Linked DNA regions of Sus scrofa. The protein of the gene in region 1 interacts with the protein of each later gene in a pairwise test. Links are inferred from orthologs where the notes say so. Each region holds a gene or a part of one and is shown in the gene's direction. Other genes may lie near its edges.

What was found.
Region 2: the proteins of CCDC155 (region 1) and GPR25 interact in binary tests that used the Homo sapiens proteins (3 or more experiments, as listed by UniProt). The two-hybrid records come from large-scale screens. The link is inferred for Sus scrofa from reciprocal best matches to the Homo sapiens genes KASH5 and GPR25.
Region 3: the proteins of CCDC155 (region 1) and C12H17orf62 interact in binary tests that used the Homo sapiens proteins (3 or more experiments, as listed by UniProt). The two-hybrid records come from large-scale screens. The link is inferred for Sus scrofa from reciprocal best matches to the Homo sapiens genes KASH5 and CYBC1.
Region 4: the proteins of CCDC155 (region 1) and GPATCH4 interact in binary tests that used the Homo sapiens proteins (3 or more experiments, as listed by UniProt). The two-hybrid records come from large-scale screens. The link is inferred for Sus scrofa from reciprocal best matches to the Homo sapiens genes KASH5 and GPATCH4.
Region 5: the proteins of CCDC155 (region 1) and BAG5 interact in binary tests that used the Homo sapiens proteins (3 or more experiments, as listed by UniProt). The two-hybrid records come from large-scale screens. The link is inferred for Sus scrofa from reciprocal best matches to the Homo sapiens genes KASH5 and BAG5.
Region 6: the proteins of CCDC155 (region 1) and TMEM11 interact in binary tests that used the Homo sapiens proteins (3 or more experiments, as listed by UniProt). The two-hybrid records come from large-scale screens. The link is inferred for Sus scrofa from reciprocal best matches to the Homo sapiens genes KASH5 and TMEM11.
Region 7: the proteins of CCDC155 (region 1) and CDC73 interact in binary tests that used the Homo sapiens proteins (3 or more experiments, as listed by UniProt). The two-hybrid records come from large-scale screens. The link is inferred for Sus scrofa from reciprocal best matches to the Homo sapiens genes KASH5 and CDC73.

What each region holds. Positions count from the first base shown.
Region 1 is NC_010448.4:54,497,489-54,500,988, forward strand, and holds part of CCDC155 (protein KASH5), read left to right. Parts: intron 1-1,072; coding exon 1,073-1,118; intron 1,119-2,887; coding exon 2,888-2,952; intron 2,953-3,028; coding exon 3,029-3,157; intron 3,158-3,254; coding exon 3,255-3,399; 3' UTR 3,400-3,500. UniProt on the Homo sapiens protein: As a component of the LINC (LInker of Nucleoskeleton and Cytoskeleton) complex, involved in the connection between the nuclear lamina and the cytoskeleton.
Region 2 is NC_010452.4:23,367,774-23,371,120, forward strand, and holds GPR25 (probable G-protein coupled receptor 25), read left to right. Parts: upstream 1-1,428; 5' UTR 1,429-1,547; coding exon 1,548-2,645; 3' UTR 2,646-2,847; downstream 2,848-3,347. UniProt on the Homo sapiens protein: Orphan receptor.
Region 3 is NC_010454.4:656,027-660,237, forward strand, and holds the start of C12H17orf62 (uncharacterized protein C17orf62 homolog), read left to right. Parts: upstream 1-1,411; 5' UTR 1,412-1,516; exon of another isoform or gene 1,517-1,636; intron 1,637-1,880; 5' UTR 1,881-2,082; exon of another isoform or gene 2,083-2,223; intron 2,224-2,487; 5' UTR 2,488-2,527; coding exon of another isoform or gene 2,528-2,612; 5' UTR 2,613-3,270; coding exon of another isoform or gene 3,271-3,397; 5' UTR 3,398-3,520; coding exon of another isoform or gene 3,521-3,567; 5' UTR 3,568-3,654; coding exon of another isoform or gene 3,655-3,656; coding exon 3,657-3,956; intron 3,957-4,211. UniProt on the Homo sapiens protein: Functions as a chaperone necessary for a stable expression of the CYBA and CYBB subunits of the cytochrome b-245 heterodimer. Controls the phagocyte respiratory burst and is essential for innate immunity.
Region 4 is NC_010446.5:93,485,060-93,489,164, forward strand, and holds the start of GPATCH4 (G patch domain-containing protein 4), read left to right. Parts: upstream 1-1,305; 5' UTR 1,306-1,380; intron 1,381-3,296; 5' UTR 3,297-3,356; coding exon 3,357-3,435; intron 3,436-3,846; coding exon 3,847-3,920; intron 3,921-4,034; coding exon 4,035-4,105.
Region 5 is NW_018084979.1:2,107,337-2,111,265, reverse strand, and holds the start of BAG5 (BAG family molecular chaperone regulator 5), read left to right. Parts: upstream 1-1,129; 5' UTR 1,130-1,447; intron 1,448-1,465; exon of another isoform or gene 1,466-1,939; intron 1,940-2,920; 5' UTR 2,921-2,948; coding exon 2,949-3,929. Other genes in the region: APOPT1 (apoptogenic protein 1, mitochondrial), read right to left, coding at 939-1,061. UniProt on the Homo sapiens protein: Co-chaperone for HSP/HSP70 proteins. It functions as a nucleotide-exchange factor promoting the release of ADP from HSP70, thereby activating HSP70-mediated protein refolding.
Region 6 is NC_010454.4:61,350,302-61,352,861, reverse strand, and holds the end of TMEM11 (transmembrane protein 11, mitochondrial), read left to right. Parts: intron 1-1,279; coding exon 1,280-1,796; 3' UTR 1,797-2,060; downstream 2,061-2,560. UniProt on the Homo sapiens protein: Plays a role in mitochondrial morphogenesis.
Region 7 is NC_010452.4:647,119-650,618, reverse strand, and holds part of CDC73 (parafibromin), read left to right. Parts: intron 1-1,090; coding exon 1,091-1,307; intron 1,308-3,500.

The sequences.
Region 1 (3,500 bases):
AGATCTGGCAGGATGGGGGCCCCAGAGCTGTGACCTCTGCTTGCGTCACCAGGGAAAGGGAGGAAGATGGGGCTGAGCTGCGGGGACAGAAGCTGGTGTGGGGGCTGGACATTTGGATTTTGGGGAGAGGGATGCTGGGGCAGCATGAGCTACAGATTGGGAAGCTGGGAGTGAGGGAAGTGGTGAATTTTGTGTCCCCTGGAGGTGACCAGGGATGAGGGCTTGGACCTTGAGAGGGACCGGGGGTCCTGAGTAGAAGTCCCAAAGGATCAGACAGCCGTGTGTCTGACTGGGGCAGAGGCTGGGGGCCCAGGAGCCAAGCTGCCTTCCTGAGCAGTAACTGAGGGGACAGCTGTATCCCAAGGGTGCTGGGTCTGCAGCTGGTGGCCGAGGCTGGAGGGCTGGATCCTTGCTCCCCAGTGAAGGTGCCAGTGGATGATGTGGACAGCAGAGTCTCCAAGGGGCTCTGGGGCTGGGCAGCTTGAGGCCTGAGTCCCCACGGAGGCCTTTCAGGTGCTCAGTCAGCTGTGACCGTAGGAGGCACGGAGGGTGGGGGCTGGCACCTCAGAGAAATGATTTGGGGTGGGTGTAGGGCTCACACAGTTGGATGCTGGGCTCGGGGAAGTCTGAGCTGGAGTTCCAGGCCTCAGAGAAGAGTTTCAGTGAGACTCAGTGAAAATGGCCAACCCACCAGACAGGAAGTTGGGGCAGTGGGTGTGTCTCGGGTCCGAGTCTCCAGTGTTTAAAGTGTGAGATAACAGAAGCCTCAGTTCCCAGTTGGGAGATCAGCTGGGAAAGTAGCAGCTGAAAAAGCCAGTGAGGTGAAGAGGCCCCTGATCCTTTTCAGGAGTCACAGACTCTTTGGAGAATTTGGTGAAAATTCCCCTGAAAAATACAGACACTGACGTACACACACCAGTTTGCTCATGGGGGTCCAGAGTACCCTCCAGGCCCATCCCTGGTGCCCCTCCACCTCCAGGCCCCTGCTTTAAAGATTCCACCACACGGCAGGCAAAAGGGAGCCAGGCAGGGATGACAGATGTTTTCAGTGACTTTCTTGTCACCACCCCAGGTTGCCCAGAAGAGAGGAAGAAGAGGAAGCGGAGAGCCAGGTGACGGTAGGCAGTCCCCAGCACCATCCACTCCAGGCCCTCAGACGAGGCTGCTGTAGTCACAGCTCCTCCCCAGCCCCCACCCACACCCCCATTCCACCCACCAGACAGAAAAATCGTTTAGCCAAGAGATAACAATGCCCTCTTGGTAGCTAATGAGAGCAGACGATGCTGTAGAGGGAGGCTGCAGCCAGTGGGCGGCCAGAATGTTCCCAAGGGACCCCCCCCTCCCCCTCCGCCACCAGCTCACACTCAGGGCTGCAGCCACCATGCCATAGGCCTCACAGGCATGCTACACCCCCAGGTTGCAAAAACGCACATGCACCCTGCACAGGAAGGGCCGGACCCTCCCCACCAGCCCCAGAACTCCCTTGGGGCACCACGCCTGTCACAGCTGCCCTGCCCGACACCACACACACTGGCACCACATACCCAGGCTCCTTTGCTCCTCAAATTTGCAGGCAACAATCCCGATTCTCAGGCAAGGGATGGGAGGGAAGGAAATTTGGTGAGGCCAGAAGCCTGTGGTCCTCAGATAAGGAACGTGAGAGCCCAGGAGTTCCCGTTGTGGCTCAGTGGTTAGTGAGCCTGACTAGCATTCATAAGGACACAAGTTCGATCCCTGGCCTTGCTCAGTGGGTTAAGGATCCGGCGTTGCCTTGAGCTGTGGTGTAGGTCGCAGATACAGCTTGGATCCCGTGTTGCTGTGGCTGTGGTGTAGGCCGGCGGCTACAACGCTGATTGGATCCCTAGCCTGGGAACCTCCATATGCTGAGGGTGTGGCCCTAAAAAGACAAAAAAAGAGAAAGAAAGAAAGAAAAACATGAGAGCCCAAAGGTGTGCCAGCCTCCATTCCAGGCACCCGGGACCCTTCAAGGTATGCCCAGGAGAGCACCCAGATAATCGGGAGACTAGGGTCCAAACCATCCGAGATGGTCTCTCTGGGCAGCCTGACCCCAAAGCCCACCTCTTTCCCACCACAGCATGCTCCCGTCCCTGGAGGCTGGGGCCCCACCTCACTTTCCTCATGGCTGGTGTGATTTTGATCTGTAGTCAGCTGTCAGAGTCGCAACACATCACAAGGGCCAGCCTGGCCAGAGCAGAGGCAGGGTAGGCAACAACAGCGAGGAGAGGGGCTCGGACTGGTGTTGCTGGAACTCTACCCTTCTAAATCTATTGCTATTGCCATAATCATTGTCCACAGAGCAAAGCCCCTGGAGGAATATTTGGGGCTTTAACCTTAAATCACCTGCTGGACCTGGCACAGGGCAGTGCAATGGGCTTGTGGAGGGCCCATGCTGGACCAGGCCCAGCCCAGGCCTGGGCTCCTGGAGAAGATAGGGGCTCTGCCCTCAGGGGCTTGGATACTTCCAGAATCAGATAGAAAATGGAAATAATAATACTGAGGAGCTCACGCAGTTATCGAGGGCTCACTGTTTGTCAGGCACTGTTCTGAGCCCACCTCCTCATACTTTGGTTTTTCCTGCATTTACTCATTCATTCCCCACTTCAGGCCTGTGTGGTGAGTGCCTTCTCATCCCTGTCTGGCAGATGGGAAAATGGGGCCTGGAGAGGTGGGGTGACACGCCAAGGGATGCACAGCAGGCAGCTGGCAGAGCGGGGAGCCCAGCGCTGTAGTAAGCTCAGAGAAGCTTAGGCGCTGAATCTCTGTGTTCCACCCCTTCTGTGTGGTCACTTCTGTCTCCTGGGCTGAACTGAGCACCTCTCCCAGTCCAGGACCCAGTGCCTCAGCTTTGTCTCCTTTTTCCTCCAAGGTGGATCTACCCATCCCTCTGGGAGACTCAGACCCTGCAGACATCCCAGGAACCCCTCCTGAGAGGTAGTGGAACCCAAGGGCCCGGGAGGGGACCTGGGGGCACCAGTGCCACTGCCCTGCCTTCCTTTCTCGCCAACAGCCCCTCAGAGCCAGAGCCGCAGCTAGCCCTGGTGCCGGTGGTGAGGGAGCTGGTCCCAGTCAGGAGGCCCATCTGGAGCCAGCTCTGCCTGTGCCCCTTGCACTCCCAGCATCTCAGGTGTACCCCAAGGTATCTGCAGAAGGAGGGTGGTGGTCAGGCATCAGGGCATTGCTGGGACACCGTGGGCTCCCCTGGACACCCCCCCAAGCACTGTCCTGCCCCCCAGCAGGGTCACTCGGCACCCACTTATCCCAGCACCAGTCCTGGGCCTGCTGCTGCTGCTGCTGCTCTCGGTCCTGCTGCTGGGCCAGTCTCCGCCCCCCACCTGGCCCCACCTCCAGCTCTGCTACCTCCAGCCTCCTCCAGTGTGAGCCGTGCTCCCCACCGCCTCAGAGCAAAGTCTGGTTCAATGAATTTCCCAGAGCTCTTGTTACTGTTATTCCCATGGTTGTGCCACTGTGACTTGGGATTA
Region 2 (3,347 bases), on another chromosome or scaffold:
GCACAGACCTGCTCAGAGCAGATGGGGGGGTGGGTATGCCCTCCTCAAAATGTCCAGTGGCTCCTACAGGTGACATCTGAGTCCTCCACTGCCTTTCCCGCATCCCCTCCCACCACCTCCTCCCACCTGGACCCTGCTGCTCTAATTCCCCCTTCAGTCCCTTCTCTGGAGCCGAGCTCAGGAGCCACCTCGGGAGAGGTTCTGACTCCCTCTTCCCATCCAGAAGCAGCTACTCCCTCCTCCCAGCTCCCTAAGGACCATTAACACGACAGCACGGCTGACCTTGAACAGGCATCCTGCACCTGGATCTAGCTCCTCTGCTGAATCAGTGACACTGCCCCCACAAGGTCAAAAAACGGGCATCTGTCGCTCTCGAGATACCCCAAACAGTGCCTGCCACATGGTGAGGCTATTAAGGACTGAATCAAACAAAACAGATAATTAATCCGCTTCAAAGTTGTAACGCCAGGTTGCCCAAGGGGTCATTCATTCCTGGTGATGACACACACTGTCACATCAGTTCCGGAACAGCAGTCATGGGAGGACGACCACTTAAGAAGAGTGGGCACCCCGCCTCCAAACTCTCCTTGGGCCCACCGGCTCCTTCAAGGCCAGTCTGCACCCCCACCCCCCTCCTGAACCCTCCCCTGCCTCTCAGCCCATAGGGCAGCTCACTCTTCTTTGAGAGGCCTGACTTCCGACTCCAGATGTCGGAGAGGGACCTCAGGTGCTGAGTCAGGCATCTTCTGTCCTCTTTCATACTGAGCTCACATCTGCCTGTGGCTCCACAGGAAGGTTTTGGCGGATGGAGGGAGTCAGGGAACCGCTGGGATTTGAATTCCAGCTTTCTTCCAGACAGGCTGTCGCTCTCTCTTCAGCTTAAAACCCTTTCCCTTTGGCTCCACGAGAACCTGCCCTGGTCAGAAAAGCCGAGCTCTGGACTGAGACATTTAATCCGGCATCTCTGCAGGCCAACACCCCTTAGAGCCTGACTGGAGGTAGGCCCCGGGGGGTTTAGGCTCCCCCCACCCGATCTACTGTGCCCAGCTGGCACAGCTCCGGGTCCTGTCTCCTCACAGAGATGGGGAGCAGCATGAACAGGGGTGAGAGATAGTGGGAATGGGGATGGATTGGGGCGTTCCCAGCCTCCTGCACCAGCGTCAGACCCCTGAGGCATCAGCGACTGATGGAGGGAGGGACAGGCCAACCTCCCAGACCTGAGGACTTTTTCCCCAAGGCCCCCCACCCACCCTACCCCGAGCTGGGAAGCCCGCCCTGCCCGGGAGGCCAGCCCCAAATCTTCAGCCACGTCTCCGCCACAGGGGCCTGCCCTTCCCCCCTTCTCCCCTTCCCCCCTTCTCCCCCCCTTCTCCCCCTCCTCCCCCTCTCCCCACCTCCTCCTCCCCCACCCCTTCCTGCCCACCCAGTCGCTCCGGTCGAGGTGGCAGGAAGGGAGGTGCTGGGCACCGGCCGTGAAGAGCCATCCCGCGCTTGGCACCGCGTTTGCCCGCTCGCTCGGCACCGCGTCTGCCCAGGCCTCGCTGGCCATGCGCCCCACGGAGCCCTGGAGCTCCAGCCCGGCGCCGGCGTTCTGGGACTACTCCGGGTCGGGCGCCCCCGAGGAGCTGGAGGTGTGCGCGGCCCCGGACCTGCCCTACAGCTACGCCTACATCCCCGCGCTCTACCTGGCGGCCTTCTGCGTGGGCCTGCTGGGCAACGCCTTCGTGGTGCGGCTGCTGGTGGAGCGGCGCGGCCCGCGGCGGCTCGTGGACACCTTCGTGCTGCACCTGGCGGCCGCTGACCTGTGCTTCGTGTTGACGCTGCCGCTGTGGGCCGCGGCGGCGGCGCGGGGAGGCCGCTGGCCCTTCGGCGAGGGCCTGTGCAAGCTCAGCAGCTTCGCGCTGGCCGGCACGCGCTGCGCGGGCGCCCTGCTGCTGGCCGGCCTCAGCGTGGACCGCTACCTGGCCGTGGGCCGCCCGTTGGCCGCGCGCGCCTGGCGCACCCGGCGCTGCGCACTGGCCGCGTGCGGCGGCGTGTGGGCCGCGGCACTGGCGGCCGGCCTGCCCTCGCTGGCCTTCCGCGGGCTGCGGCCGCTGCCCGGGGGCGGAGGCAGCCAGTGCGGCGAGGAGCCGTCCGATGCTTTCCAGGGCCTGAGCCTGCTGCTGCTGCTGCTGACCCTGGCGCTGCCCTTGGCCGTCACCGTCGTCTGCTACTGCCGAGTGTTGCACCGCCTGCGCGGGCCGCCGCACATGGGCCGCGCCCGGAGCCGCTCTCTGCGCATCATCTTCGCCGTCGAGGGCGCCTTCGTGGGCTCCTGGCTGCCCTTCTGCGCCCTGCGCGCCGTCTTCCACCTGGCGCGCCTGGGCGCGCTGCCGCTGCCCTGCCCCCTGCTGCTGGCGCTGCGCTGGGGCCTCACCGTCGCCACCTGCCTGGCCTTCGTCAACAGCTGCGCCAACCCGCTCATCTACCTGCTTCTGGACCGCTCGTTCCGCGCGCAGCTGCGGCGGCGCGGGGCCTGCGGGCGCGGCGACTCCATGGCGCGCGGGAGCAGCTCGGCGTCCTCGCTCTCTGGCGACGACAGCTCCCCGTTCCGGAGCCAGGGCCGCTGGGGGCCCCGAGCCCTGACTTCCGCGGCGGTCGCGTAGCTGTGGGCAGCAGCGGAGCCCCGAGGAGCCGGAGGCGCAGCCACACGGGCCGGCCCCTACCCCCCACCCCGACCTGCCTCCCGGACCTGCCTCCCCAGGCTGCTCCGCCGGCACTGCCAGCTCTCCCAGAACCTCAGCTTTTCCAGCCTCCCCAAGCCAGGCGGCTGAGACCAGCTCTTCTCTCCTTCTGCCCAGTGGCGCCTGGTCTAATTGTCCGCAACCCAATAAGAGGCTTGTGCGATGGAGCCCACGGCAGCGGGGGCACCCGCGGGTCCCCCAAATCCGGGAGAAGAGAGTGGACCTGCCTTCTCTGCACCATCAGCGGTAGCACAGCCAGACCCGCAGAAGCACTCTTGCTTGTCTCAGGCTCTCCCTTCCAACCCCTACAATCGCCTCTGCCTTCTGAGAAATATCTTCTCCCAGTCAGACCCTCTGGCCCCTCACTGAAAATCCTATGTGGGACCTCCTACCTGCAGCCCTCCTTGGTGGCTGAGATCTTGGCATCATTACTCACCATCAGTTCAGATCTTCATTTGCAAAGCTCATCAAAGCGCGGGAACCAGCCTTGCTGGGGGCTCCCCAGGCCATTCCTCCTGGTGATTTCCCAGCTCCAGGCCCTGGGTTTATATCCCCACCCCTTCACCCCCACCTCCGCAAGCAGCACCACTCACCCCAGAAGCTCTCCTGCCCCATCCCTCTGGA
Region 3 (4,211 bases), on another chromosome or scaffold:
CGTAGGAAAGCTGTCTCCAATTTTTCGGTGTTTTTTGGCCATGGTGTGCAGTGGCTTGCTGTGGGATCTCAATTCCCAGACCAGGGACTGAACCTAGGCTGCAGTGGTGAAAGCACCAGATCCTAACGACAGACCATCAGGCCCTTACCTCCAAATTTCTGACCCTTGCCTATGCTGGTAAAGCTTACATGCTTGGGCACACCCTCGTGTATTTCCTTTTAAGGTCATGTGCATGGTATGTCAATCTTACATAAATTATAAAACACATAACAGATGTAAAAAGAAAAAATAAGTAGGGATACAGGCTCTAGAATGTTCTTCCAGCACTCCACAGGTCATCTTGACTGCTCCACTCTGGAGGCCACTGAAGTGGGCAGCAGCTGTCTGGTGGAGGCCCTCCTGTAACAGGTGAGGTCTTTCCCTGCCTGGTGGGAAATAAAAAGGCAAGTTAGGGTCCTGCTGGGGACCTTCGTGCTGAGTGTCTGGGTGGAGAGTGGAGCAAGACGGCCACTTAATCAGCCACTCCAGGGTTTCTCTGGAGAAAACTGTCCTACGACAATCCTCCCTCCCAGACTCTGGGGCACGTCTCTGAGTAGCAGAAAAACTGCCATCACAACATGGGAATGTTGAGTTTTCCCAGCTACATTGAGTTTTTCGGGGTCACGGGTCTCTGGTTTCCCCCTATCCTCCTCCACAGTGTCTTGCAGAATTGTTATTATCATTATTATTTTTTTGTCCTTTTAGGGCTGCAACTGCGACATATGGAGGTTCACAGGCTAGGGATCAAATCGGAGCTCGGCCTACACCACAGCCACAGCAACAGATCCAGATCCCAGACATCTGCGACCTACACCACAGCTCATGGGCAACGCGGGATCCTTAACCCACCGCGCGAGGCCAGGGATCGAACCTGCCTCCTCATGGGTATGAGTCAGATTCACTTCTGCTGAGCCAGGACGGGACTCCCAGAATTGCTTAGATTTAGTTTTTTAGCCTGGTGATATTCTTACTGGGTTTGCATGGAAACTGCAGATGAACAGGGGCAAGTTTACAATTTTACAATAACCCCGTGATCTATCTTAGTTCTGCTCCAACGTTTCTCACTGAAGTTCTCACAGAATCTACCATGACGTTCGTACACACCCGCTGTTAGGTGAAATAATACTTTATACGTTTTTCTCGTCATCCTAAACACCTCTTTCACCTCCCGCTGCGGACCTTTTAAAGCCTATCACCCCAGACGCCCTCAGGTCGGGGCCTGGGCCCTTGTACCACGCGGCCGCCGCCGGCCGGGATCCGCCCTCCGCAACGACCTCGCTCGGGACCCGCCACCGGACCGGCACCTGCGCGGCTGAAAGGGGGCCCCCGCCGCCCGCTCCCGCGGGCCCGGAAGTCGGTTGTCCCATCCGCCCCCGCGCGCCCGGAAGTGGGCCGGGCCCGCCCCCAGCCCCGGAAGTCCGTACCTGGCGGGTCCGCAGGCCCCGAGATCCCGCCTGCCGCGCGCCGTCGCCCGCAGGTCAGTGTCTGTGGTGGGCGCCGGGGCCGTGGCCGCGGTATGAGCGGGTGCGGGGCGAGCTGGGGGGCGGCTCCCGCAGCCCGAGGGCCTCCGGCGGTGCTGTCTCGGGACCGGGCCCTGGTAGGTGGCCCGGGGTGCTGGCGGCGGGCGGGGGCTTGCGGGGGGGGGGGGGCGCGGTGGCCGCAAGGGTCAGGCGGGGCATGTCCAGGGCGGCTCGTGCCGGGGACCCGCGTGATCTCGCCCCGCGGGCAGCGGAAACGCGTGGAGGCTCCTCAGGGGAGGGGGCTAGTGATGGCCAGGAATGGGCTTCGTTTGTGTGCAGTGAATCCGCTGTTTCTTGCCAACGTTTGATTTAATTTTATAGGAAGTAGCTGAAAAGCTACCCAGAACGGGGTCCCTGGAGCCAGCTTTTCGAGCGCACTGCAGCGTCCTCCACGCTGGAAGATAAGCCCCCCGCCCCTTGGTGACTCGTTCATTCAGCCGGAGCTCAGGGACCTCGGGACCTTCTGCCGGGTGCAGCCTGTTGGCTCCGCAGCTGGTGAAGCCTGCAGAGCTGACTTTTTCCGGTCAGTGCCAGTACAGACTCAAACCATGATTAGACTTTCAGTTCCCTTTTTCAAAGGCCAGCAAAGGAAAATGAGGGCGTTCTGACAGGTTCTGGTAGGGTGCCGGAAGCTTGAAGGCTGCTGGAGGCTGAGGGTTTCCAGGTAGGAAGGAGGCAGGGGGTGATCAAGTGGTTGGTGCTTTGCGGGTCAGAGCAGGGGATGCAGCCACAGTGCAGCCATTACAGTTCAGCAGAGAAGGGCCTTCCTTACAGAGAAAATGGGTCTCTGGGGGATGAAGTGACCTGCCTGCCTGCAGAGACTGCAGTCAGCAGGCGGACTGGTTCTGGAGCCTTCCCAGAGAGGAGCTGGGTGCCTGCCTGCGGGCAGCGGCTCCGGGGCTCCAGCTGTCTCTCTGCTCTCCCCTAGCCCGCGTCTCCTGTTGAGAGAGGTGGCAGCACGTTCTGGGATGTACATGCAGGTGGAGACACGCACCAGCTCCTGCCTCCATCTGAAAAGGGCTCCAGGCATCAGGTCCTGGTCCCTGTTGGTTGGTAAGGACGTCCGCTTTTCCCCTCAAGTTAAAAATTTAACTTTCAAAAAGGATGAAGGTGAACGTTAGCTTGTCCCTGCTTCTACTCCTCCAAGACATAACAGCTGTTTAATTCTTCCGACTTTTATGTTCTGTCTGTGCTTTTACAGATGATGTGTGTCTGTCTAGGCTTTTTTTTTTGTTAAACCATTTAATAGCTTCCGGTTAATGCTCCGCATGCTCTTCTGAGGTCCCTGTACTTCCCTTTTGTTTGCTTTCACACACCCATTCCAGGCACAGGGTTTATGCCAGGGCCCCCCCCTCCATCCAGGTCATACCCCTCAGAGGGCCCTGCATCTGCCGGGCAGCTGTAGTGTGCTGCTTGGGGCTGACGTGTGAAGGGCGGTGCCTGTGCCGTCCACAGCCCAGCTCTGGCTTCTTTCCAGGGACCCTGCCAGTTTCATCCCACGTGCCAGACTGGGCCTTTGTCTGCAGTCTGGTCTTAAAGTTCCGCTCCCTGTGCTGTTGGTGGGAGTCCATCCACTCTGGAGGCTCCCGTACACGTCTGGTGAACACGGTGACTGGCGGAGAATGTTCTCCTGAGCAGACCTCCTCTGCCGTGTCTCCACCTCTGAGCCTGGTGGTCGTCTCACCCCCGCGCCCTCAGCCATCCCCGGGCCATGGGCGGGGCCTTCGGGTCCTGGGGGGAGGCGGGTTCCGGGCTGGTGGTGGCCTTTTGGGAAGGTGCCTGCTTCCTTCTTGCAGGAATCGCGTCCATCGGCCTGGCTGCTGCGTATTACAGTGGAGGTGAGATGCGTCATGTGCCCCTGGAACTTCCTCGGCTGACTGACGGGAAGTTAGAGAAAAGGAGGGGCTGCTGCTGCGTGTGACCCGCCAGGGCCCGGCTTGGCACGTCGCCCCTGCCTCTCGATGGTGTGCAAGGCGGCCCCACCTCTCTGCTGGCGTGTCCCCTGCAGGTGGCAGTCCTCCCACTCCAGCATTTTCTTTGGCCGTAAAACAGCCTTCAGAAAGGCAGGCTCACATCCGCCTCGGGTTCTTTGCAGGGATGGTCCCTGTGCGCATGCCCACCTTCCCGCTCTCACACGCTGCGCCGCTACTGTCGGCTCCAGGAGACCCCGGGGGAGAGCGGAGGGTCCGCCATGTGGTGCGGCCATGGTGGCAGGGGCTGTCCTTGCAGGTGTGGGCGGTCAGCCGGGTCCCCAGGTGTCCGGGAGGGGCACCTCGCCCCCCACTGCCATCCCTCACTGGGCTGTCCGGTGTTCACTCCCCAGACAGTCTGGGCTGGAAGCTCTTCTACGTCTCCGGCTGCCTGTTCGTGGCCGTGCAGAACCTGGAGGACTGGCAGGTGAGGCCCATGGGCAGGGCGCCCGGGCACTCGGGCTGCCCTGCGGAGGGAATCAAAGCAGGAAGGCAGGCCCGGGGTCCACGGCCCCTCACCCAGAGGCATCAGCGTACTGGTTTGCAGCCCACTGGACCCGGCCCTGATGTGGCTGGTCTGCAGCATCCCTAAGCCAAGGAGTCCTCTGGGCTGTGCTTCTCCCGGAGGTCCTGGAAGGGCCAGCCCACTGCCCCTTTGTCCCCGTTCATGTGTCCCTGGGCC
Region 4 (4,105 bases), on another chromosome or scaffold:
AGGGATCCAACCCATGTCCTCATGGATACTAGTCGGGTTAGTTTGTTCTGCATCACAACAGAGAAACTCCCACAAGTAGCATATTTTGAAAGTAAAATTAGGAGTTCCCGTTGTGGAACAGCGGAAATGAATCTGACTAGGAACCATGAGGTTGTGCTTAGATCCCTGGCCTTGCTCAGTGGGTTAAGGATCTGGCGTTGCCTTGAGCTGTGGTGTAGGCTGCAGATACTGCTCGAATCCTGTGTTGCTGTGGCTGGGGCATGGGCTGGCAGCTACAGCTCTGATTAGACCTCTAGCCTTGGAACCTCCATATGCCCTGGGTGCAGCCCTAAAAAAACAAAAAAAAAACCAAAAAAAAAAAAAGGACCAAAGAAAAAAAAAAGTAAAATTAGTTTTTATGGAAAAAAATCTTATGGGGATGAGGGAGTATGAAAGACTGAGCAATTATTACAAGGTTTTACTAGGAAATAGCCTTTGAAGTTCTGGGGGGGGTGGAGGTGGGGCAGGAGCACTAAGTTACTGTGAATTAATGAAAACGAGGGATTCTTCTTTTCAGATTTTATTCTTGGGTGGCTTAGTTAAGCCTTGGAACAGTCTGTGGTAATGAGAGCGTGTGCAGCCTCTCTTGTTGATTTCCTGGCAGTAGGTTCTTTCCCTCCTCTGATCAAGGGATCCTCATACTTGACAAGGCAAGTCCAAACACCTCAGCCTGGTATGGATTCCAGGATCCTGCCTCTCTTTTCAGTCCCACTCGTGGTCCCAACTTTGCTTGGGCTATACTAGGTGCTCCCCGAAGTTAGGGCTCGAGTCTTATGCATCTTTGAATCACTGGTACCAAAGGGGCAGGTCCTGGCATACGGTGGTGAGTCAAAACGTGATAAACCTACTGAAACTTCTCTTCTCTAGGATTTTATAAATAACTGTTTTCCCACAGGCTGAGTATTCATCCCCCCAAACCACCTCAGAGGTACTACCTCCTCTGCCTCTACGAACCTCTCAGGCCACTCTCGGTGCTTCCCCCTAAAGTTTTCCTTCCTCCTATTTGTGTCTGGGACGAGACGGTGTCAGACGGAAGGATCAGGATCCCAAGTGAGCCGGTTAGGGGTGAAGTCCCGTGGCCGCTCAGGGCCTACAGGGAAGAAGCAGGACACCTCCCAAATCTCTAGAACTGGGCGCGCTCTGGGGCTGAGTTTCTATGACAACCATACAAGTACGTGGGCCACGCAAAAGTACTTTCCGGAGGACCACGGCGACTTTGCTTCCCGCGAGCATCTCTATGGTTTCCACCGCCTAGAAGGACTGAAACGCACTTCCGGGAAGATGGCGGCGCGCAAGATGTCGCTGGCATGTGTTTTTGCGGAGAGGACCTTGCAAATGACGGTAAGGAGCTGTAGTCCCCCAGACGGTGGCTGTCGGAGCCCGGGCTCAGAAGCAAATGTGAGAGCAGGAAAGTAGTTTCACCAAAGCGAAACTGCGGTAGGAGGGCTAGAATTTAGATCTCAAGAGGAAGGAGGTCTAGGGAAACGGTAGCTGGCTGTTTGGATCTGCTCTAAAAATTGTGGACCTGGGCCCCTTCTCCAGAAAACTCAGGTTAACTGGAGAGAAAACAGTTCCTGAACGTGCAGTCGCTGCCTTCACAAAGACTGCGGCGCAGAGCCTGGGATCTAGTTGCTTTTGTCCACAGTTATCCATTCTGTTAAGGCAGTTTCCACCTGTGTCCTTCAGTTCAGCGAATAACGACGGAACGCATTCTCTGTTCTCGGAGCTGCATTAGAAGCACCGGGGTTGGGGAGTAAAACCAGGGCATATAGTTTCGAATTACTGTGAAGAGGGACAAGCTGTGGTAAAGTCCTACAGTGTAAAGCACTAATGGCTGTCAGACTGAGGACCCTAGTGATTAAGAATGTCAGTTCTGGGATGCCTGAGATCTTAAATCTGCTACTTACCAGCTGTTTCATTTGGACAAGTAATGAAACGTCTCAATGCCTTTTCCTCATTTGGAAATGAAGGTAAAAATGCCTCCTCATAGGGTTGTTGAAATGAGGTAATGTGTGTGAAGCTGGCATTGAATGAATGCTGAAATGTTAGTTGTTGTTGAATCTGCGGCCTGATGGAAATAACTTCTGAGAAGAGGCAGAGCCTCGAGGTGGCCTTAAAGACCTCAGTGTTTGAACTTGAATTCTCTTGCAGTATCAAGAAGCAAGATAGGGCCATTTCTTCACTCAGTGTTTTTCTGTTGGGACTCTCAAGATCTCATTTAGGTTTTCAGGTAACCATCCTTCACAGTAGAAATATGAACAGACATGTGAGTCATCCTAAATTTGCTCCTCTTCCTATCTAACCAGACTGGTCATCATTCTTAGGCCTAATACGGAATATTTGGGAGGAGTGACTTAACGATGTGTCTGATTTCCCCCCACCCCCCCAAACTAGGATACTTCCTAGACCTTCTTAAACACAAATGAAAGTTTTGGCCTTTGGAGTTGTCATTTGGGGAGGCTAGAGGATTACTCCAGTAGTGCCATTAATTGGCTTTAAAAATGGTCTGCAATGCTTGTAATAAATGATCTTAACACAACTTCATTTAAGTGACTCAGGTCAGCAGTGATAGTCTTTAGTTTTTGTTTCTTGTTTCTGTTTTCCTTTTTCAGCCACAGCTGTGGCATATGGAAGTTCCCTGGGCCAGGAACAGAATCTGAGCTGCAACTGCAACCTATGTCACAGCTGTGGCAAGCCAGATCCTTAATCCACTGTGTCAGGCCAGAGTCTTCTGCCAAGAGTGCGGACCTAAAAAGACAAAAAAAAAAAAAAGCCCTAGCACAGCCTGGCATGTAGTGAGATCTCCATAAATTTAGGTGTTATTATTAATACTAATCCTCCTTGATTTTCAACATGATGATATTAACCTCTCTGTGGTCAGACAGGGAGCACTCAAGGACCAGGCCTCCTTCCTCTGTTTCTGCTTCCAGGAAGAATTTTTTTTTTTCAGGGCTGCACCCACGGCATGTGGAGGTTCCCAGGTTAGCGGTCTAATCGGAGCTACAATTGCCGGCCTACACCACAGCCACAGCAACGCAGCATCCGAGCTGTGTCTGCACCCATACACCACAGCTCATGGCAATGCCAGATCCTTAACCCACTGAGCGAGGCCAGGGATCAAACCTGCAACCTCATGGTCCCTAGTCGGATTTGTTTCTGCTGCATGGCAATGGAAACTCTGCAAGAAAGAATTCTTATAAGAGCAGTCAGGATGGATTTTTTGCAGGATTTGAGCACTTTTTCCTTTCCTCTTAAAGGGATGACTGTGAACTCCTCTTCTCTGGTGAGGGGCTGAGGACAGTGACTCTTTTCTCACCATGAGTGTCACCCCAGAGGTCAAGAGTCGTGGGATGAAGTTTGCTGAGGAGCAGCTGCTAAAGCATGGATGGACTCAAGGTGATCCCCACAGGCCCCTTCCACGTACCCCCAAGCCTCTGCCTGGGGAAGAGGGATCCTTCTGGGTTAACCCTATGTAGTCCTTTCAACTGCAGGAGGAAAAGTTAGTTTAAAGGGAAATTTGTGAAGAAAGTTGCTGGCTTTTCCAGAAAAGGAAAGAATGGGAGAAAGAAGTGGGAGGACTGGGAGGGGGAGGAAGAAACATGACCTCTGTCCTGAAAGAATTATGAAGGAAGGATAGTTCAGGCTGGAAGACAGGAGGGCTGCATGGAGAGGTGCTGGAAAGAATGAAACTGGGAGGGCTTCTGAGAGCGCGGGGGCTTTCCTAGTGCCAGGTGTGTGGATGGCAAGGATCCGCCATGTGCTGGGGTGAGGGCTTGGGGTGTTCAAATCATTCACTGTCTTCCGTAGGCAAAGGCCTGGGCCGGAAGGAGAACGGTATCACCCAGGCCCTCAGGGTGACACTGAAGCAGGACACTCATGGGGTAAGCCTGGGCTGGCTGGGGGAGGTCAGTGCAGATGGGAGAGGGGGGTCTTGAGGCCAGGGGAGGGACGGGAATAACACGTCCTGGGTTCATTCATACTTCGTCCTCCGGCAGGTGGGACACGACCCTGCCAAGGAGTTCACAAACCACTGGTGGAATGAGCTCTTCAACAAGACAGCAGCCAG
Region 5 (3,929 bases), on another chromosome or scaffold:
AACTGCTACAGATATTAATCGTTATGGCTCTTCAGTCACAGATATACATATATGCACACGGTTTCCAAACCAAATGAACAAAAACATTCAACGTGAAGTCCTACAAAACAGTACGCCATCACTTGAAGAAAAGCGTTACTAATCATAAAGACGACACACACACGTGCTGCGCATGTCAAGAGCTCTTTACATGTAAAAGCCAGTTATCCTCGACAGAAAGACGGTACGTATAAACTTTTTTTTTTTTGTCTTTTCTAGGGCCGCACCCGCAGCACATGGAGGTTCCCAGGCTAGGGGTTTAATCGGGGCTGTAGCCACCAGCCTACGCCAGAGCCACAGCCACGCGGGATCCGAGCGGCATCTGCGACCTACACCACAGCTCATGGCAACGCCGGATCCTTAACCCACTGAGCAAGGCCAGGGATCGAACCCGCCACCTCTTGGTTCCCCGTCGGATTCGTTAACCACTGCGCCACGACGGGAACTCCCCGGTACGTATAAACTTGCTGGCCGGCTATGCTATTCTTTTATTCATTTATTTATTTTTTTACTTTTATTTTCTTTCCGCTGTACAGCATGGGGACCAAATTACTCTTACATGTATACATTTTTTCCCCCACCCTTTGTTCTGTTGCACGGCTATGCTATTCTTAAAGTTCTTTCAACAGCCCCGGGACGGCGGCGGCACCCTCAGTCCCACCTCCACAAGGGGATTGACGCAGGAAACTGGGGGGCTCCAGGGCTTCCCCGCGCTCCACTCGCCTGTCCCGCAAAGCCCGTGCCGGCTCCGGGTCCCCACGCCGGGGGGCTCAGCCGACACCGCAAGTGGCGCGTCGCAGGTGTGAGGGTCCCACAGGGGTCCCTGAGGGGTGCGGCCCGGGTCTGCCGCCCCTTGCGGTCACTCCTCCCGGCCCAACTTTTCCGGGAACCCCACTTACGCGGCTGGGCGCTGCATCCCTGCGCTCAGCGCTGCGCTCGGGGGCGAGCTGACAGCCACGGCCTGAAAAGGCGCGGCGGAGAGGAAGGAGGACCGTCTTGCTTCCGGGCCGCCAGGGCGCCATGGTCGCCGTCCGTCGGCCCGCGCGGCGCACGGCGGAGTCGCGACGGCGCTAGGGGCTGCCTTACGGCACGGTCGCAAAGCCCGAGGACGGGGACAGCGCGGCCGATCGTGCTCTTTCCCCGCGTGTGACCGGCTGCGAGGACGGCCGTCGGCTCGGGCGCGGCCGGGTGGCCGCCTGCTCCTGGGGCTCAGCCGTTCCAGGCTGACTCGCCAGACGGCCAGCGGCGGGCTTGGTCAGGGTCGGGGTGGGCGCGGAAGCCGGAAGACCTTTTCCCAGGGCGAGGGGCTGTTCGGCCCGGGGGCGGAGCTGCCGGGCCCAGGCGACGGCGGGAGCTGCGGCGGCGCGGGGCGTCGGCGGCGGAGTGCGCGATGGCGCGGGCGGCGCAGGTGAGCGAGAACCAGGCGGCGGCAGCCTTCCCTCGGCGCGGGCAGCAGGCGGGCGACCCCCGACTCGGCGCCCTTCCCCGTTGTGGCCGGGCCGGAGTGGGCGCCGCCCCAGCCCTGGGTCCGACGCGGGCCGGCCCTGGTTTCCGAGCCGGGCTCCCCGCAGCCGGCCCGGCCCGAGCCCCCTCCCTCCTCGCCGGCTCCCAGGCCCGGCCGAGCGCGGCCGCCCCCTCCCCCGAGGGCCATTGTGAGGTCAGGGCGGGCGGGTGCGTCGTGGGGTCCGGGCGAGACGCCCGGAGCGGCCGCTGCGGCCAGTAGCTGCCGCTGCCACTGCCGGCCCCTTCACCGGCTGCCCCGTTCAGATCTAGCCGGGAGGGGTGAGAGGGATGCAGCTGGGGGCCCAGCTCCGGAGCCGCACCCCGTAAAGGGCTGATCTTCCATCTCGCCACTTCACCCACGGGAAGCCAAGACCAAACCAGCTTAGACCTCTTCTGGGTAAAGTGCTGGGAGGGAAGGGCGGGCAGGGAAGGGAAGAATCGAGGCCGCCTGCTCTCCCTGGGCCTCCAGAGGCGTGTTCTCGGCTCGGACACCCAGAAGGGATTGGTTTCACTTGAGTACCCGGCCCCCTCCAAAGAGCTGATCGATAGAAACCCAGGAGCATGAAAAAAGTGCGTTGAGCCATTCTGGATTCCTAATGTGAGGCTAGTGAATGGATTGCTCAGAGTTGTCACATGCTTGTGCGATGTATTTCGGAGAAGGGGCAGGAGCATGATGGGGCCTGGGGAGGTACTAGGCCTCCAGAGCCCAGGGTGGTGCTTTGACAGTCCCAGTCGCCTTTCCCGTGGAGCCCTATGCCACTGTAGAGGAGATGTTAGAAGGGCTCAAAGGATGGAGAGGACGGTAGAAGCGGGGACTTGGGCGGTGTCTGCGAACCACTGGTGTTTGTTTCAGTGGCTCGGTTCCTTTTGTTTACTTTTTCCGGAAATTAGTCATAGCTCTTTGTAATGGGGTGAGAGGAGGGCCCTGCTTAGACGTACTGACCTGGAAGGTTAGCAGAGCTACCACAAAGGTGCCCTGCCGCGCCAAAAAAAACAGCTTCCAGTTTTAAGACCTCAGATACCTGCACCTTTTCCAAAATGTTCAGCTTCATGCCATACTTATGATGGCATATGTTGTTTGTTCTCTCTTACAACTGAGGAAACTTGAAGTTCACAGGCCCAGAGCTCCGGCTCCTATTTCCACTCGGCAGTAGCCCTGGTCTCAACCTCGGTGCAGCTGTTTAGCTGTTTTCATGAGAGGGAATTGATGAGTCGCTCTGATTTCTGTGCTTGGATTTCTTCTCCTTTGGACTGCAGTAGCCAGCCTTTTTTTTCGAGCCTGTCTTTTTAGAATGAGAACTGTAGAATGAATTGAATATGTGATTACCATGCTGCAGGCTTTGTAGTGTAATGAGTTATCGTTTTTGCCATCTTTTAGTGCTTGTGAAACTGAACACAACCAAAGTATGGCGATGGGAAACCAGCATCCTTCTATAAGTCGGCTCCAGGAGATCCAAAAGGAGGTAAAAAGCATAGAACAGCAAGTAACTGCTTTCAGTGGCCTGTCAGACGACAAGACGTACAAGAAACTGGAGAGGATTCTAACGAAACAACTCTTTGAAATAGACTCTGTAGATACGGAAGGCAAGGGAGATATTCAGCAAGCGCGGAAGAGGGCGGCCCAGGAGACGGAGCGTCTTCTCAAAGAGCTGGAGCAGAATGCAAACCACCCCCACCGGCTCGAGATCCAGCACATTTTCCAAGAAGCACAGTCCCTGGTGAAAGAGAAGATCGTGCCCTTTCACAGCGGCGGCAGCTGTGTGACGGAGGAGTTTGAAGAGGGCATCCAGGACGTCATCCTGCGGCTGACGCGCGTCAAGACGGGCGGCCGGACCTCCTTGCGGAAGGCGCGGTATCACACCCTAACCAAGGTCTGCGCCGTGCAGGAGATCATCGAGGACTGCGGGAGAAAGCCGCCCTCGCTGCCGCTCTCCGCCGACGCGCACCCCTCGGTGGCCAAGATCAACTCCGTGATGTGTGACGTGAACCGGGCCCGAGGCACGCTGATCGCCCTCCTGATGGGCGTGAGCAGTGACGAGACCTGCAGGCACCTGTCGTGTGTGCTCTCGGGGCTGATGGCGGATCTGGACGCTTTGGATGTGTGCGGGCACACGGAAATCAGGAACTATCGGAAGGAGGTGGTGGAGGATATCAACAAGCTGCTGAAGTACTTGGACTTGGAGGAGGAGGCAGATACCACTTACGCCTTCGACCTGGGCCAGAACCACTCCATTCTAAAGATAGAGAAGGTCCTCACGCGAGTGAGAGAAATAAAAAACGAGCTCCTCCGAGCCCAGAATCCCGCCGAGCTGTACCTGAGCTCCAAAACGGAACTGCAGGGCTTGATCGGTCAGCTGGACGAGGTCAGTCTTGAGAAGAACCCCTGC
Region 6 (2,560 bases), on another chromosome or scaffold:
AAGCCCTGCCTCCTGGCCTTGCTTATTTGCTTGCAGGGGAGCTTCTACTGCTGAACCCCACCTGGGAGCCACGACAGGAAGGCGCACTCAGTGGCGGCTCTCCTGCCACCAGTCCTTTTCCCCTGGCGTTTGCCTGGCAGCCCCGTCTCTGCCCCCTGCACACGGAACTGCCCTCTTCAGTAAAGGAGATGCTGAACGGAGAGGGTCTGGGCGGGCCTGTTGCAGTCGTGGGGCCCTCGGGGCTGCTGTCCTGCAGTCTGGGCCCTCGGCGCTGTGCTTCTTGCTGCTGGGGGGCACCCTTCAGAGCCCCAGGTTGAGGGGCGTGGACCCGGGGGCACAGTGACCACCAGGAGCCAGGTCGGGGGACTAGGGGCTACTGAAGGGAAGGCAGGTGACAAGGTGGCTTCGCAGGGCCTGGTGACGTGATGCAGAGGGAGCCACCCGTCCAGCTGGGAGAGGCCGGGGTAAAGAAGCCTTCTTGCGAGATGAGCAGTGAAGACCAAACTGGGGGAACCGGCTGTGCTGGGGGGCAGCGTGGAGGGTCTGGATGGGCGGGGACGAGCCAGAGGGTGACAGGCGCTGGGTCCTGCGTCCGGCGTGGGAGGTCCCGCTTGAGGCCTCCCGCGGGCTTGGGCTCTGTCTGCTGGTGAGCGTCACGTCCCCGGCAGGCCGGGTCGCTGCATGGGCTGCTTCCGTGGGTGAGACGCCTTCAGTGGCCATAGGTAGAGTCCTGGGCCCACAGGGTCAGAGCGGCAGGAACACGAGGCCCCTGGACCCTCATCCCAGCGCCCAAGGCCGAGGCACTGAGTGGGGCGCTCCCGGCCAGGTGGCCCTTGGGGGGGCTTTGGCGTTGCCGCCCCAGGAGGACCCGGGCAGCTTGCTCTCCGTCCACCACGGCCGGACCCGTGAAGGTGGGCCGTGCGGGCTCAGTGGCCCTGGTGGGCTGAGGGCACGGCGCACCTGCCGTCACAGGCCTCTGTCCCCGCGTCGTGGGCCCGAGGCCCCCTCTCCCTGGGGCTTTGCTGACTCACGGGTCTGACCCTGCGTTGCCTTAACTGCCAGGCCGCCCCCGTCGTCGGCCGCCATCCTCACAGATGTTGTCGCAGGAGCCCCAGGGCCCCTTGCTGTGTCTCTCGTGGGCCACGGCTTGCTTCTTCGGCCCCATCTGCAGGGCGGGAAGGGGGCGGCCCGGGGAGCCGTGCGCGCCCTCCGGAGCTCGGCGGGGCCCCCCCAGCTGGCGCCCCGCTCACGGCTCCTTTCTCCCGCCCCCCCCCCGCAGGCTGAGCTTGGCGGCCACGGACTGTTACATCGTGCACGAGATCTACAGCGGGGAGAACGCGCAGGACCAGTTTGAGTGCGAGCTGGAGCAGGCCCTGGAGGCCCAGTACAAGTACATCGTGATCGAGCCCACGCGCATCGGCGACGAGACGGCCCGCTGGATCACCGTGGGCAACTGCCTGCACAAGACCACCGTGCTGGCGGGCACCGCCTGCCTCTTCACGCCGCTGGCGCTGCCCCTGGATTACTCGCACTACGTCTCCCTGCCCGCGGGCGTGCTGAGCCTGGCCTGCTGCACCCTCTACGGCATCTCCTGGCAGTTCGACCCCTGCTGCAAGTACCAGGTGGAGTACGACGCCTACAAACTGTCGCGCCTGCCCCTGCACACGCTCACCTCCTCCACGCCGGTGGTGCTGGTCCGCAAGGACGACCTGCACAGGAAGAGACTGCACAACACGATAGCGCTGGCGGCCCTGGTGTACTGTGTCAAGAAGGTGTACGAGCTCTGCGCCGTGTGAGCCGGGAGGCGGCCGGCCTCACGCTTGTCCGCTGAACGGAAGGACACATCACCGGGGCCCCGGGGCGCTCGGCTCAGCCCACGAAGACGTGGGTCCCGCGACCCCGGGGTCGGCGGTGCGGGTTTCCGACGGGGCGGCAGGATGTGGTGGGAGCAGCGCTGCGGGGGGGCGACCGCGCTCGGGGGTCCTTGAGAACATCCGGTAACTGTACCACCCAGAGCCAGCCGGAGCTGTTGACCATTAAAGTGATGAGAATTTCCCCTCCGCCCGGTGTCTCTCTCCGTGACGGCCCTGGTGGGCGTGGGCAGCACGGGTGTCAGCCCTGGCGACGGGCAGGCCCAGACCCTCCGTGCTGCTCAGGGACCTGGCGGGACAGGTGGGCGGCACGGCCGGGCGGCCGCCTGCAGAGCTGGGGCTGGGTCGTGTCCAGGGATCTGACGCGGGAGGAGCCGGGAACCACCTCCACACCTTGAAAGCACTGAGGCCGTCCCGATGGGGGCCCGGGCCCAGGGGAGCCCCACGCTCCCCGCTTACCTTCCCCCGAAGAGGCGGGGCCCTGGCCCTGCAGCCTCTCGAGACCTCTGCCAGGCGCCTCGAAGGGCAACCAGACTGACTTTCTGCTCGTTTTAAAGGCGCCTCAGGAAGGTCCCATCCCAGAGAGTAACGGAGGGGGGCCGGGGGCCACTTTCTGGGGGAAGAGCCAGGGCTTGTGAGAGTTGGAGAGACCTTGACCCGATTGCGAGGGGCCTGGAAGTGCTGATCCC
Region 7 (3,500 bases), on another chromosome or scaffold:
TAGCGTATATATGACACTGCTGTGTTTGAACCTGCCCGAACTCCCGACCTTTTCCCACATGTTGTTTCCATGTATTTGAGGATTGTCATCTTGTGATGAGAGTAATAATTTCATCAACTGCCGTTGAGATATCTGAACCCTTTTTTTGTATTACATTGTCAAAAATTCGGCTAAGCCTAAGATTATCATTTTAATGAAATCTATTTTCATTAAGTCTTTTTTTTATAGTTATGAAATCATAGCTTCTGTTTGCCATTTTACATGTTATTTGAAAGTGAAATAAAGGAAAAGAAAAGGAAAATTTCAGAATACTGTTTTACCTTCCATACCTTAAAGGGAATAAAAGTTTTTTCTACGTGGCATATAAAAGCTTCTGTCACCTATAAAATTGATGTGTTGTTACACTATGACACAGATTTGAAACCTTGAAATAAACTTCAAGGAAAGTGTGAACTTTGTTTTTTGTAGAATGAAGTATTTTTGCCCCCTTCCAAGGTGGTGGTGTGCACATGCTTACACATGCGTGTGTGTTTGTGTAATTTGTGTGGCTGGGAGGATTAGCAAATACGGGTCTCATATAAAAGACTTTTTTTTTTTTTTTTTTGCAGGGGCAGGGTGGGGTCCCAAGAAAGGTTTTTTGTAGGGCCAACCAAGGAGAATGGCTAACTCATGCCCCCAAAACCCAGACTCTTCAAAGGGTTTCAGCAAAGCAGTTTGAAATGCAAGGTGAGGGAGGGGTGTCCCAGGGTATGTGATCAACTTGTGCAGAATTCTCTGATTGGTTGATGGTGATTAATCTAAAAGGCCGTATTAGTGAATGCTTTTGAGGGGGCAAAATGAAAAAACGCAAAATTTTTTGTATTGTTCCTCCTAAGAAATTACTAATCTGCGTATGGTGCAGTAATTCTACATGGACTCTCCTTTACATGGTTATAAGTCATCAAGTCTGTCAGTTTTATAGATAAGAAGGAAATCTTAATTATGGCCACTTAAAGTGTTATTATCAGGAGCTTGTAAATGCAGCAAAATATTTTATGATGTACTCAAGCGATCCTTGCTATACACATACTAAAAAAGAAATTGCTTTCAGGTCTTTGTCTGAAGCTATGTCAGTGGAAAAAATTGCCGCAATCAAAGCCAAAATTATGGCTAAGAAAAGATCTACAATCAAGACGGACTTAGATGATGATATAACAGCCCTCAAGCAGAGGAGCTTCGTGGATGCTGAAGTGGACGTGACCCGAGATATTGTCAGCAGAGAGCGAGTGTGGAGGACTCGAACGACCATCTTACAGAGCACGGGGAAGGTAGTCAGAGTAGCTCACTGCGTCTCGAGAGTTGGTGTGCGCGCGCGCGTGTGTGTGTGTGCAAGCTGTGATTGCTTACGAAGTTGGCTGAAGTCTCCTGTGCAACATGAGTCATGCTGTAGATTTCTCGGTGGCCGTGTTTACCGTTCCAGTCTAGGGTGTGGTTGGTCGGTGGTCACCAGAAAAGGTGATGAAGAAGTCCGAATCAGAAGCAGGTCCTTGATGTCCACCTCATTGGCAAATCCAAACAGAGGCCCAGTGTTCTCGCCCATGAGGTTTTTGTTTAAATCTAATGAGCAGGGAATATTGGTAGCAAGCTCTCTAGGCATTAATTCCATTGTTAATGTTTTCCTCACAAAGGAGAGAACTTAGGAAAATCAGTCAGCAAACATGCTTTGAGTGTATTTGATATATTCTTTTTTTTTTTTTTTTTTTTTTTTGTCTTTTTTTGTCTTTTGTTGTTGTTGTTGTTGTTGCTATTTCCTGGGCCACTCCTGCGGCATATGGAGGTTCCCAGGCTAGGGGTTGAATCGGAGCTGTAGCCACCGGCCTACGCCAGAGCCACAGCAACGCGGGATCCGAGCCGCGTCTGCAACCTACACCACAGCTCCCGGCAACGCCGGATCATTAACCCACTGAGCAAGGGCAGGGACCGAACCCGCAACCTCATGGTTCCTAGTCGGATTCGTTAACCACTGCGCTACGACGGGAACTCCTATTTGATATATTCTGTTGTATGGAGGTAACAGCATTTGTTTATTCCTGATTAATGGAGTTGGTTTTTGCTGCAGTATTGTGGGTTTTCTTCCTTCCCTTCCTCCCCGCTTTCCTTCTCGCTGTTTCCTTCCTTCCCTTCCTTTCCATGATTGCGAACAGCTGCATTGAAAAAAGTCCTTGTACATACACACCTTCATGCCTTTATGTCTGCATATAGCAGAAGCATTACTTCCTGGAAGTGAACTGTTGTTTAAAGGAGATATGTAAATTTTGAACGATAAAAAGTTGAAAGATACTGAATGTTCCGTATCTTAGTAGCTCCCCAAACAGTTTGCATCAGTTCCTTTTCACTTACCTATTTTCAGCTGTTTTCCCCGCCCACATCCCAGTTTCCCCTTAAATGTTAATTCTTCACCGATGCACAGTTGTTCGCGGTGGCGATTTGGTGAGAAGGTTTATAGAAGTTGTGAGGTGACTGATGGAAGCGAACTTTAGCATTGGTCTAGGCAGGCTGGTTTTGTCTGCAGAATTGTTTGGATTCCAGCCTTAGTTACTGTGCTGTTTTAGTAGGAATACGACCACTAGAGGAGAGTATATGAAGGAAAGAATTCGTTTTCTCTTGTACTTAGAGTTGTTTCACACAGTACTCGAGGTCAAGATCAAGAATCATTCTCCTGAGCTTAAAATCATGGAGAAATCTGAGAATGTGGGTGGACCTTCTTCTCTGTATTTAAAATAAGGCGATCTACTGGTATTCATTTTTACTGCCTAGTGTGGCTAATAGTTGAATATTCGTACTTACATTGTTCTGTCAATGTTCATTGTAATTTTTGAAATGAACAATTTTCTTTGAGCTCTAGGTGGCAGGATTGTACCACCATTCGAAACTTAGTGTCTAATTTAATTTAATGTCGTTGGCACCAGTGTGTAATTTTACAAGTAAGTTAATACTTGGAAGAATTGTTTGGTAGCTAGGTTTGCTTCTGTGAATATTAACATTTTAAAATCAAAAACAACAATTTTGACTTTTAGTTTCTCTGTATGCTGTTTTCACCTGCCAAACTCTAAGAAACTTTTTAGGTACTTAACAGCCCTAAGAGGCTCTATGATTTTAGATAGATCTTCATTATTATCAGGTATCAGGGCTTTCTTATTTTCTGAGTTTTGGGACCAAAAGACAGGTTCAAAATTTCCATGAGAAAATACAAATACATACTTTTCTAGTTATTACTCTTGCAAGCACCCCACCTAAGGCAGCCTTTTTTTTTTTAATAATGCCATTAAAAATATACTTTTAAACTTACATAAACTAGTATTTGTTCGTTATTGAAAAATATATAAAAAGATTATAAGAAGATAATAATCACCTGTAATTGTACTACACAAATATAGCTAGTAACATTTTGATGGATTCTTCTAGAGTTTGTTTCTCTCATGCAGTACTTCATTACTTTCGAAGTAATGAAATTTGATTTT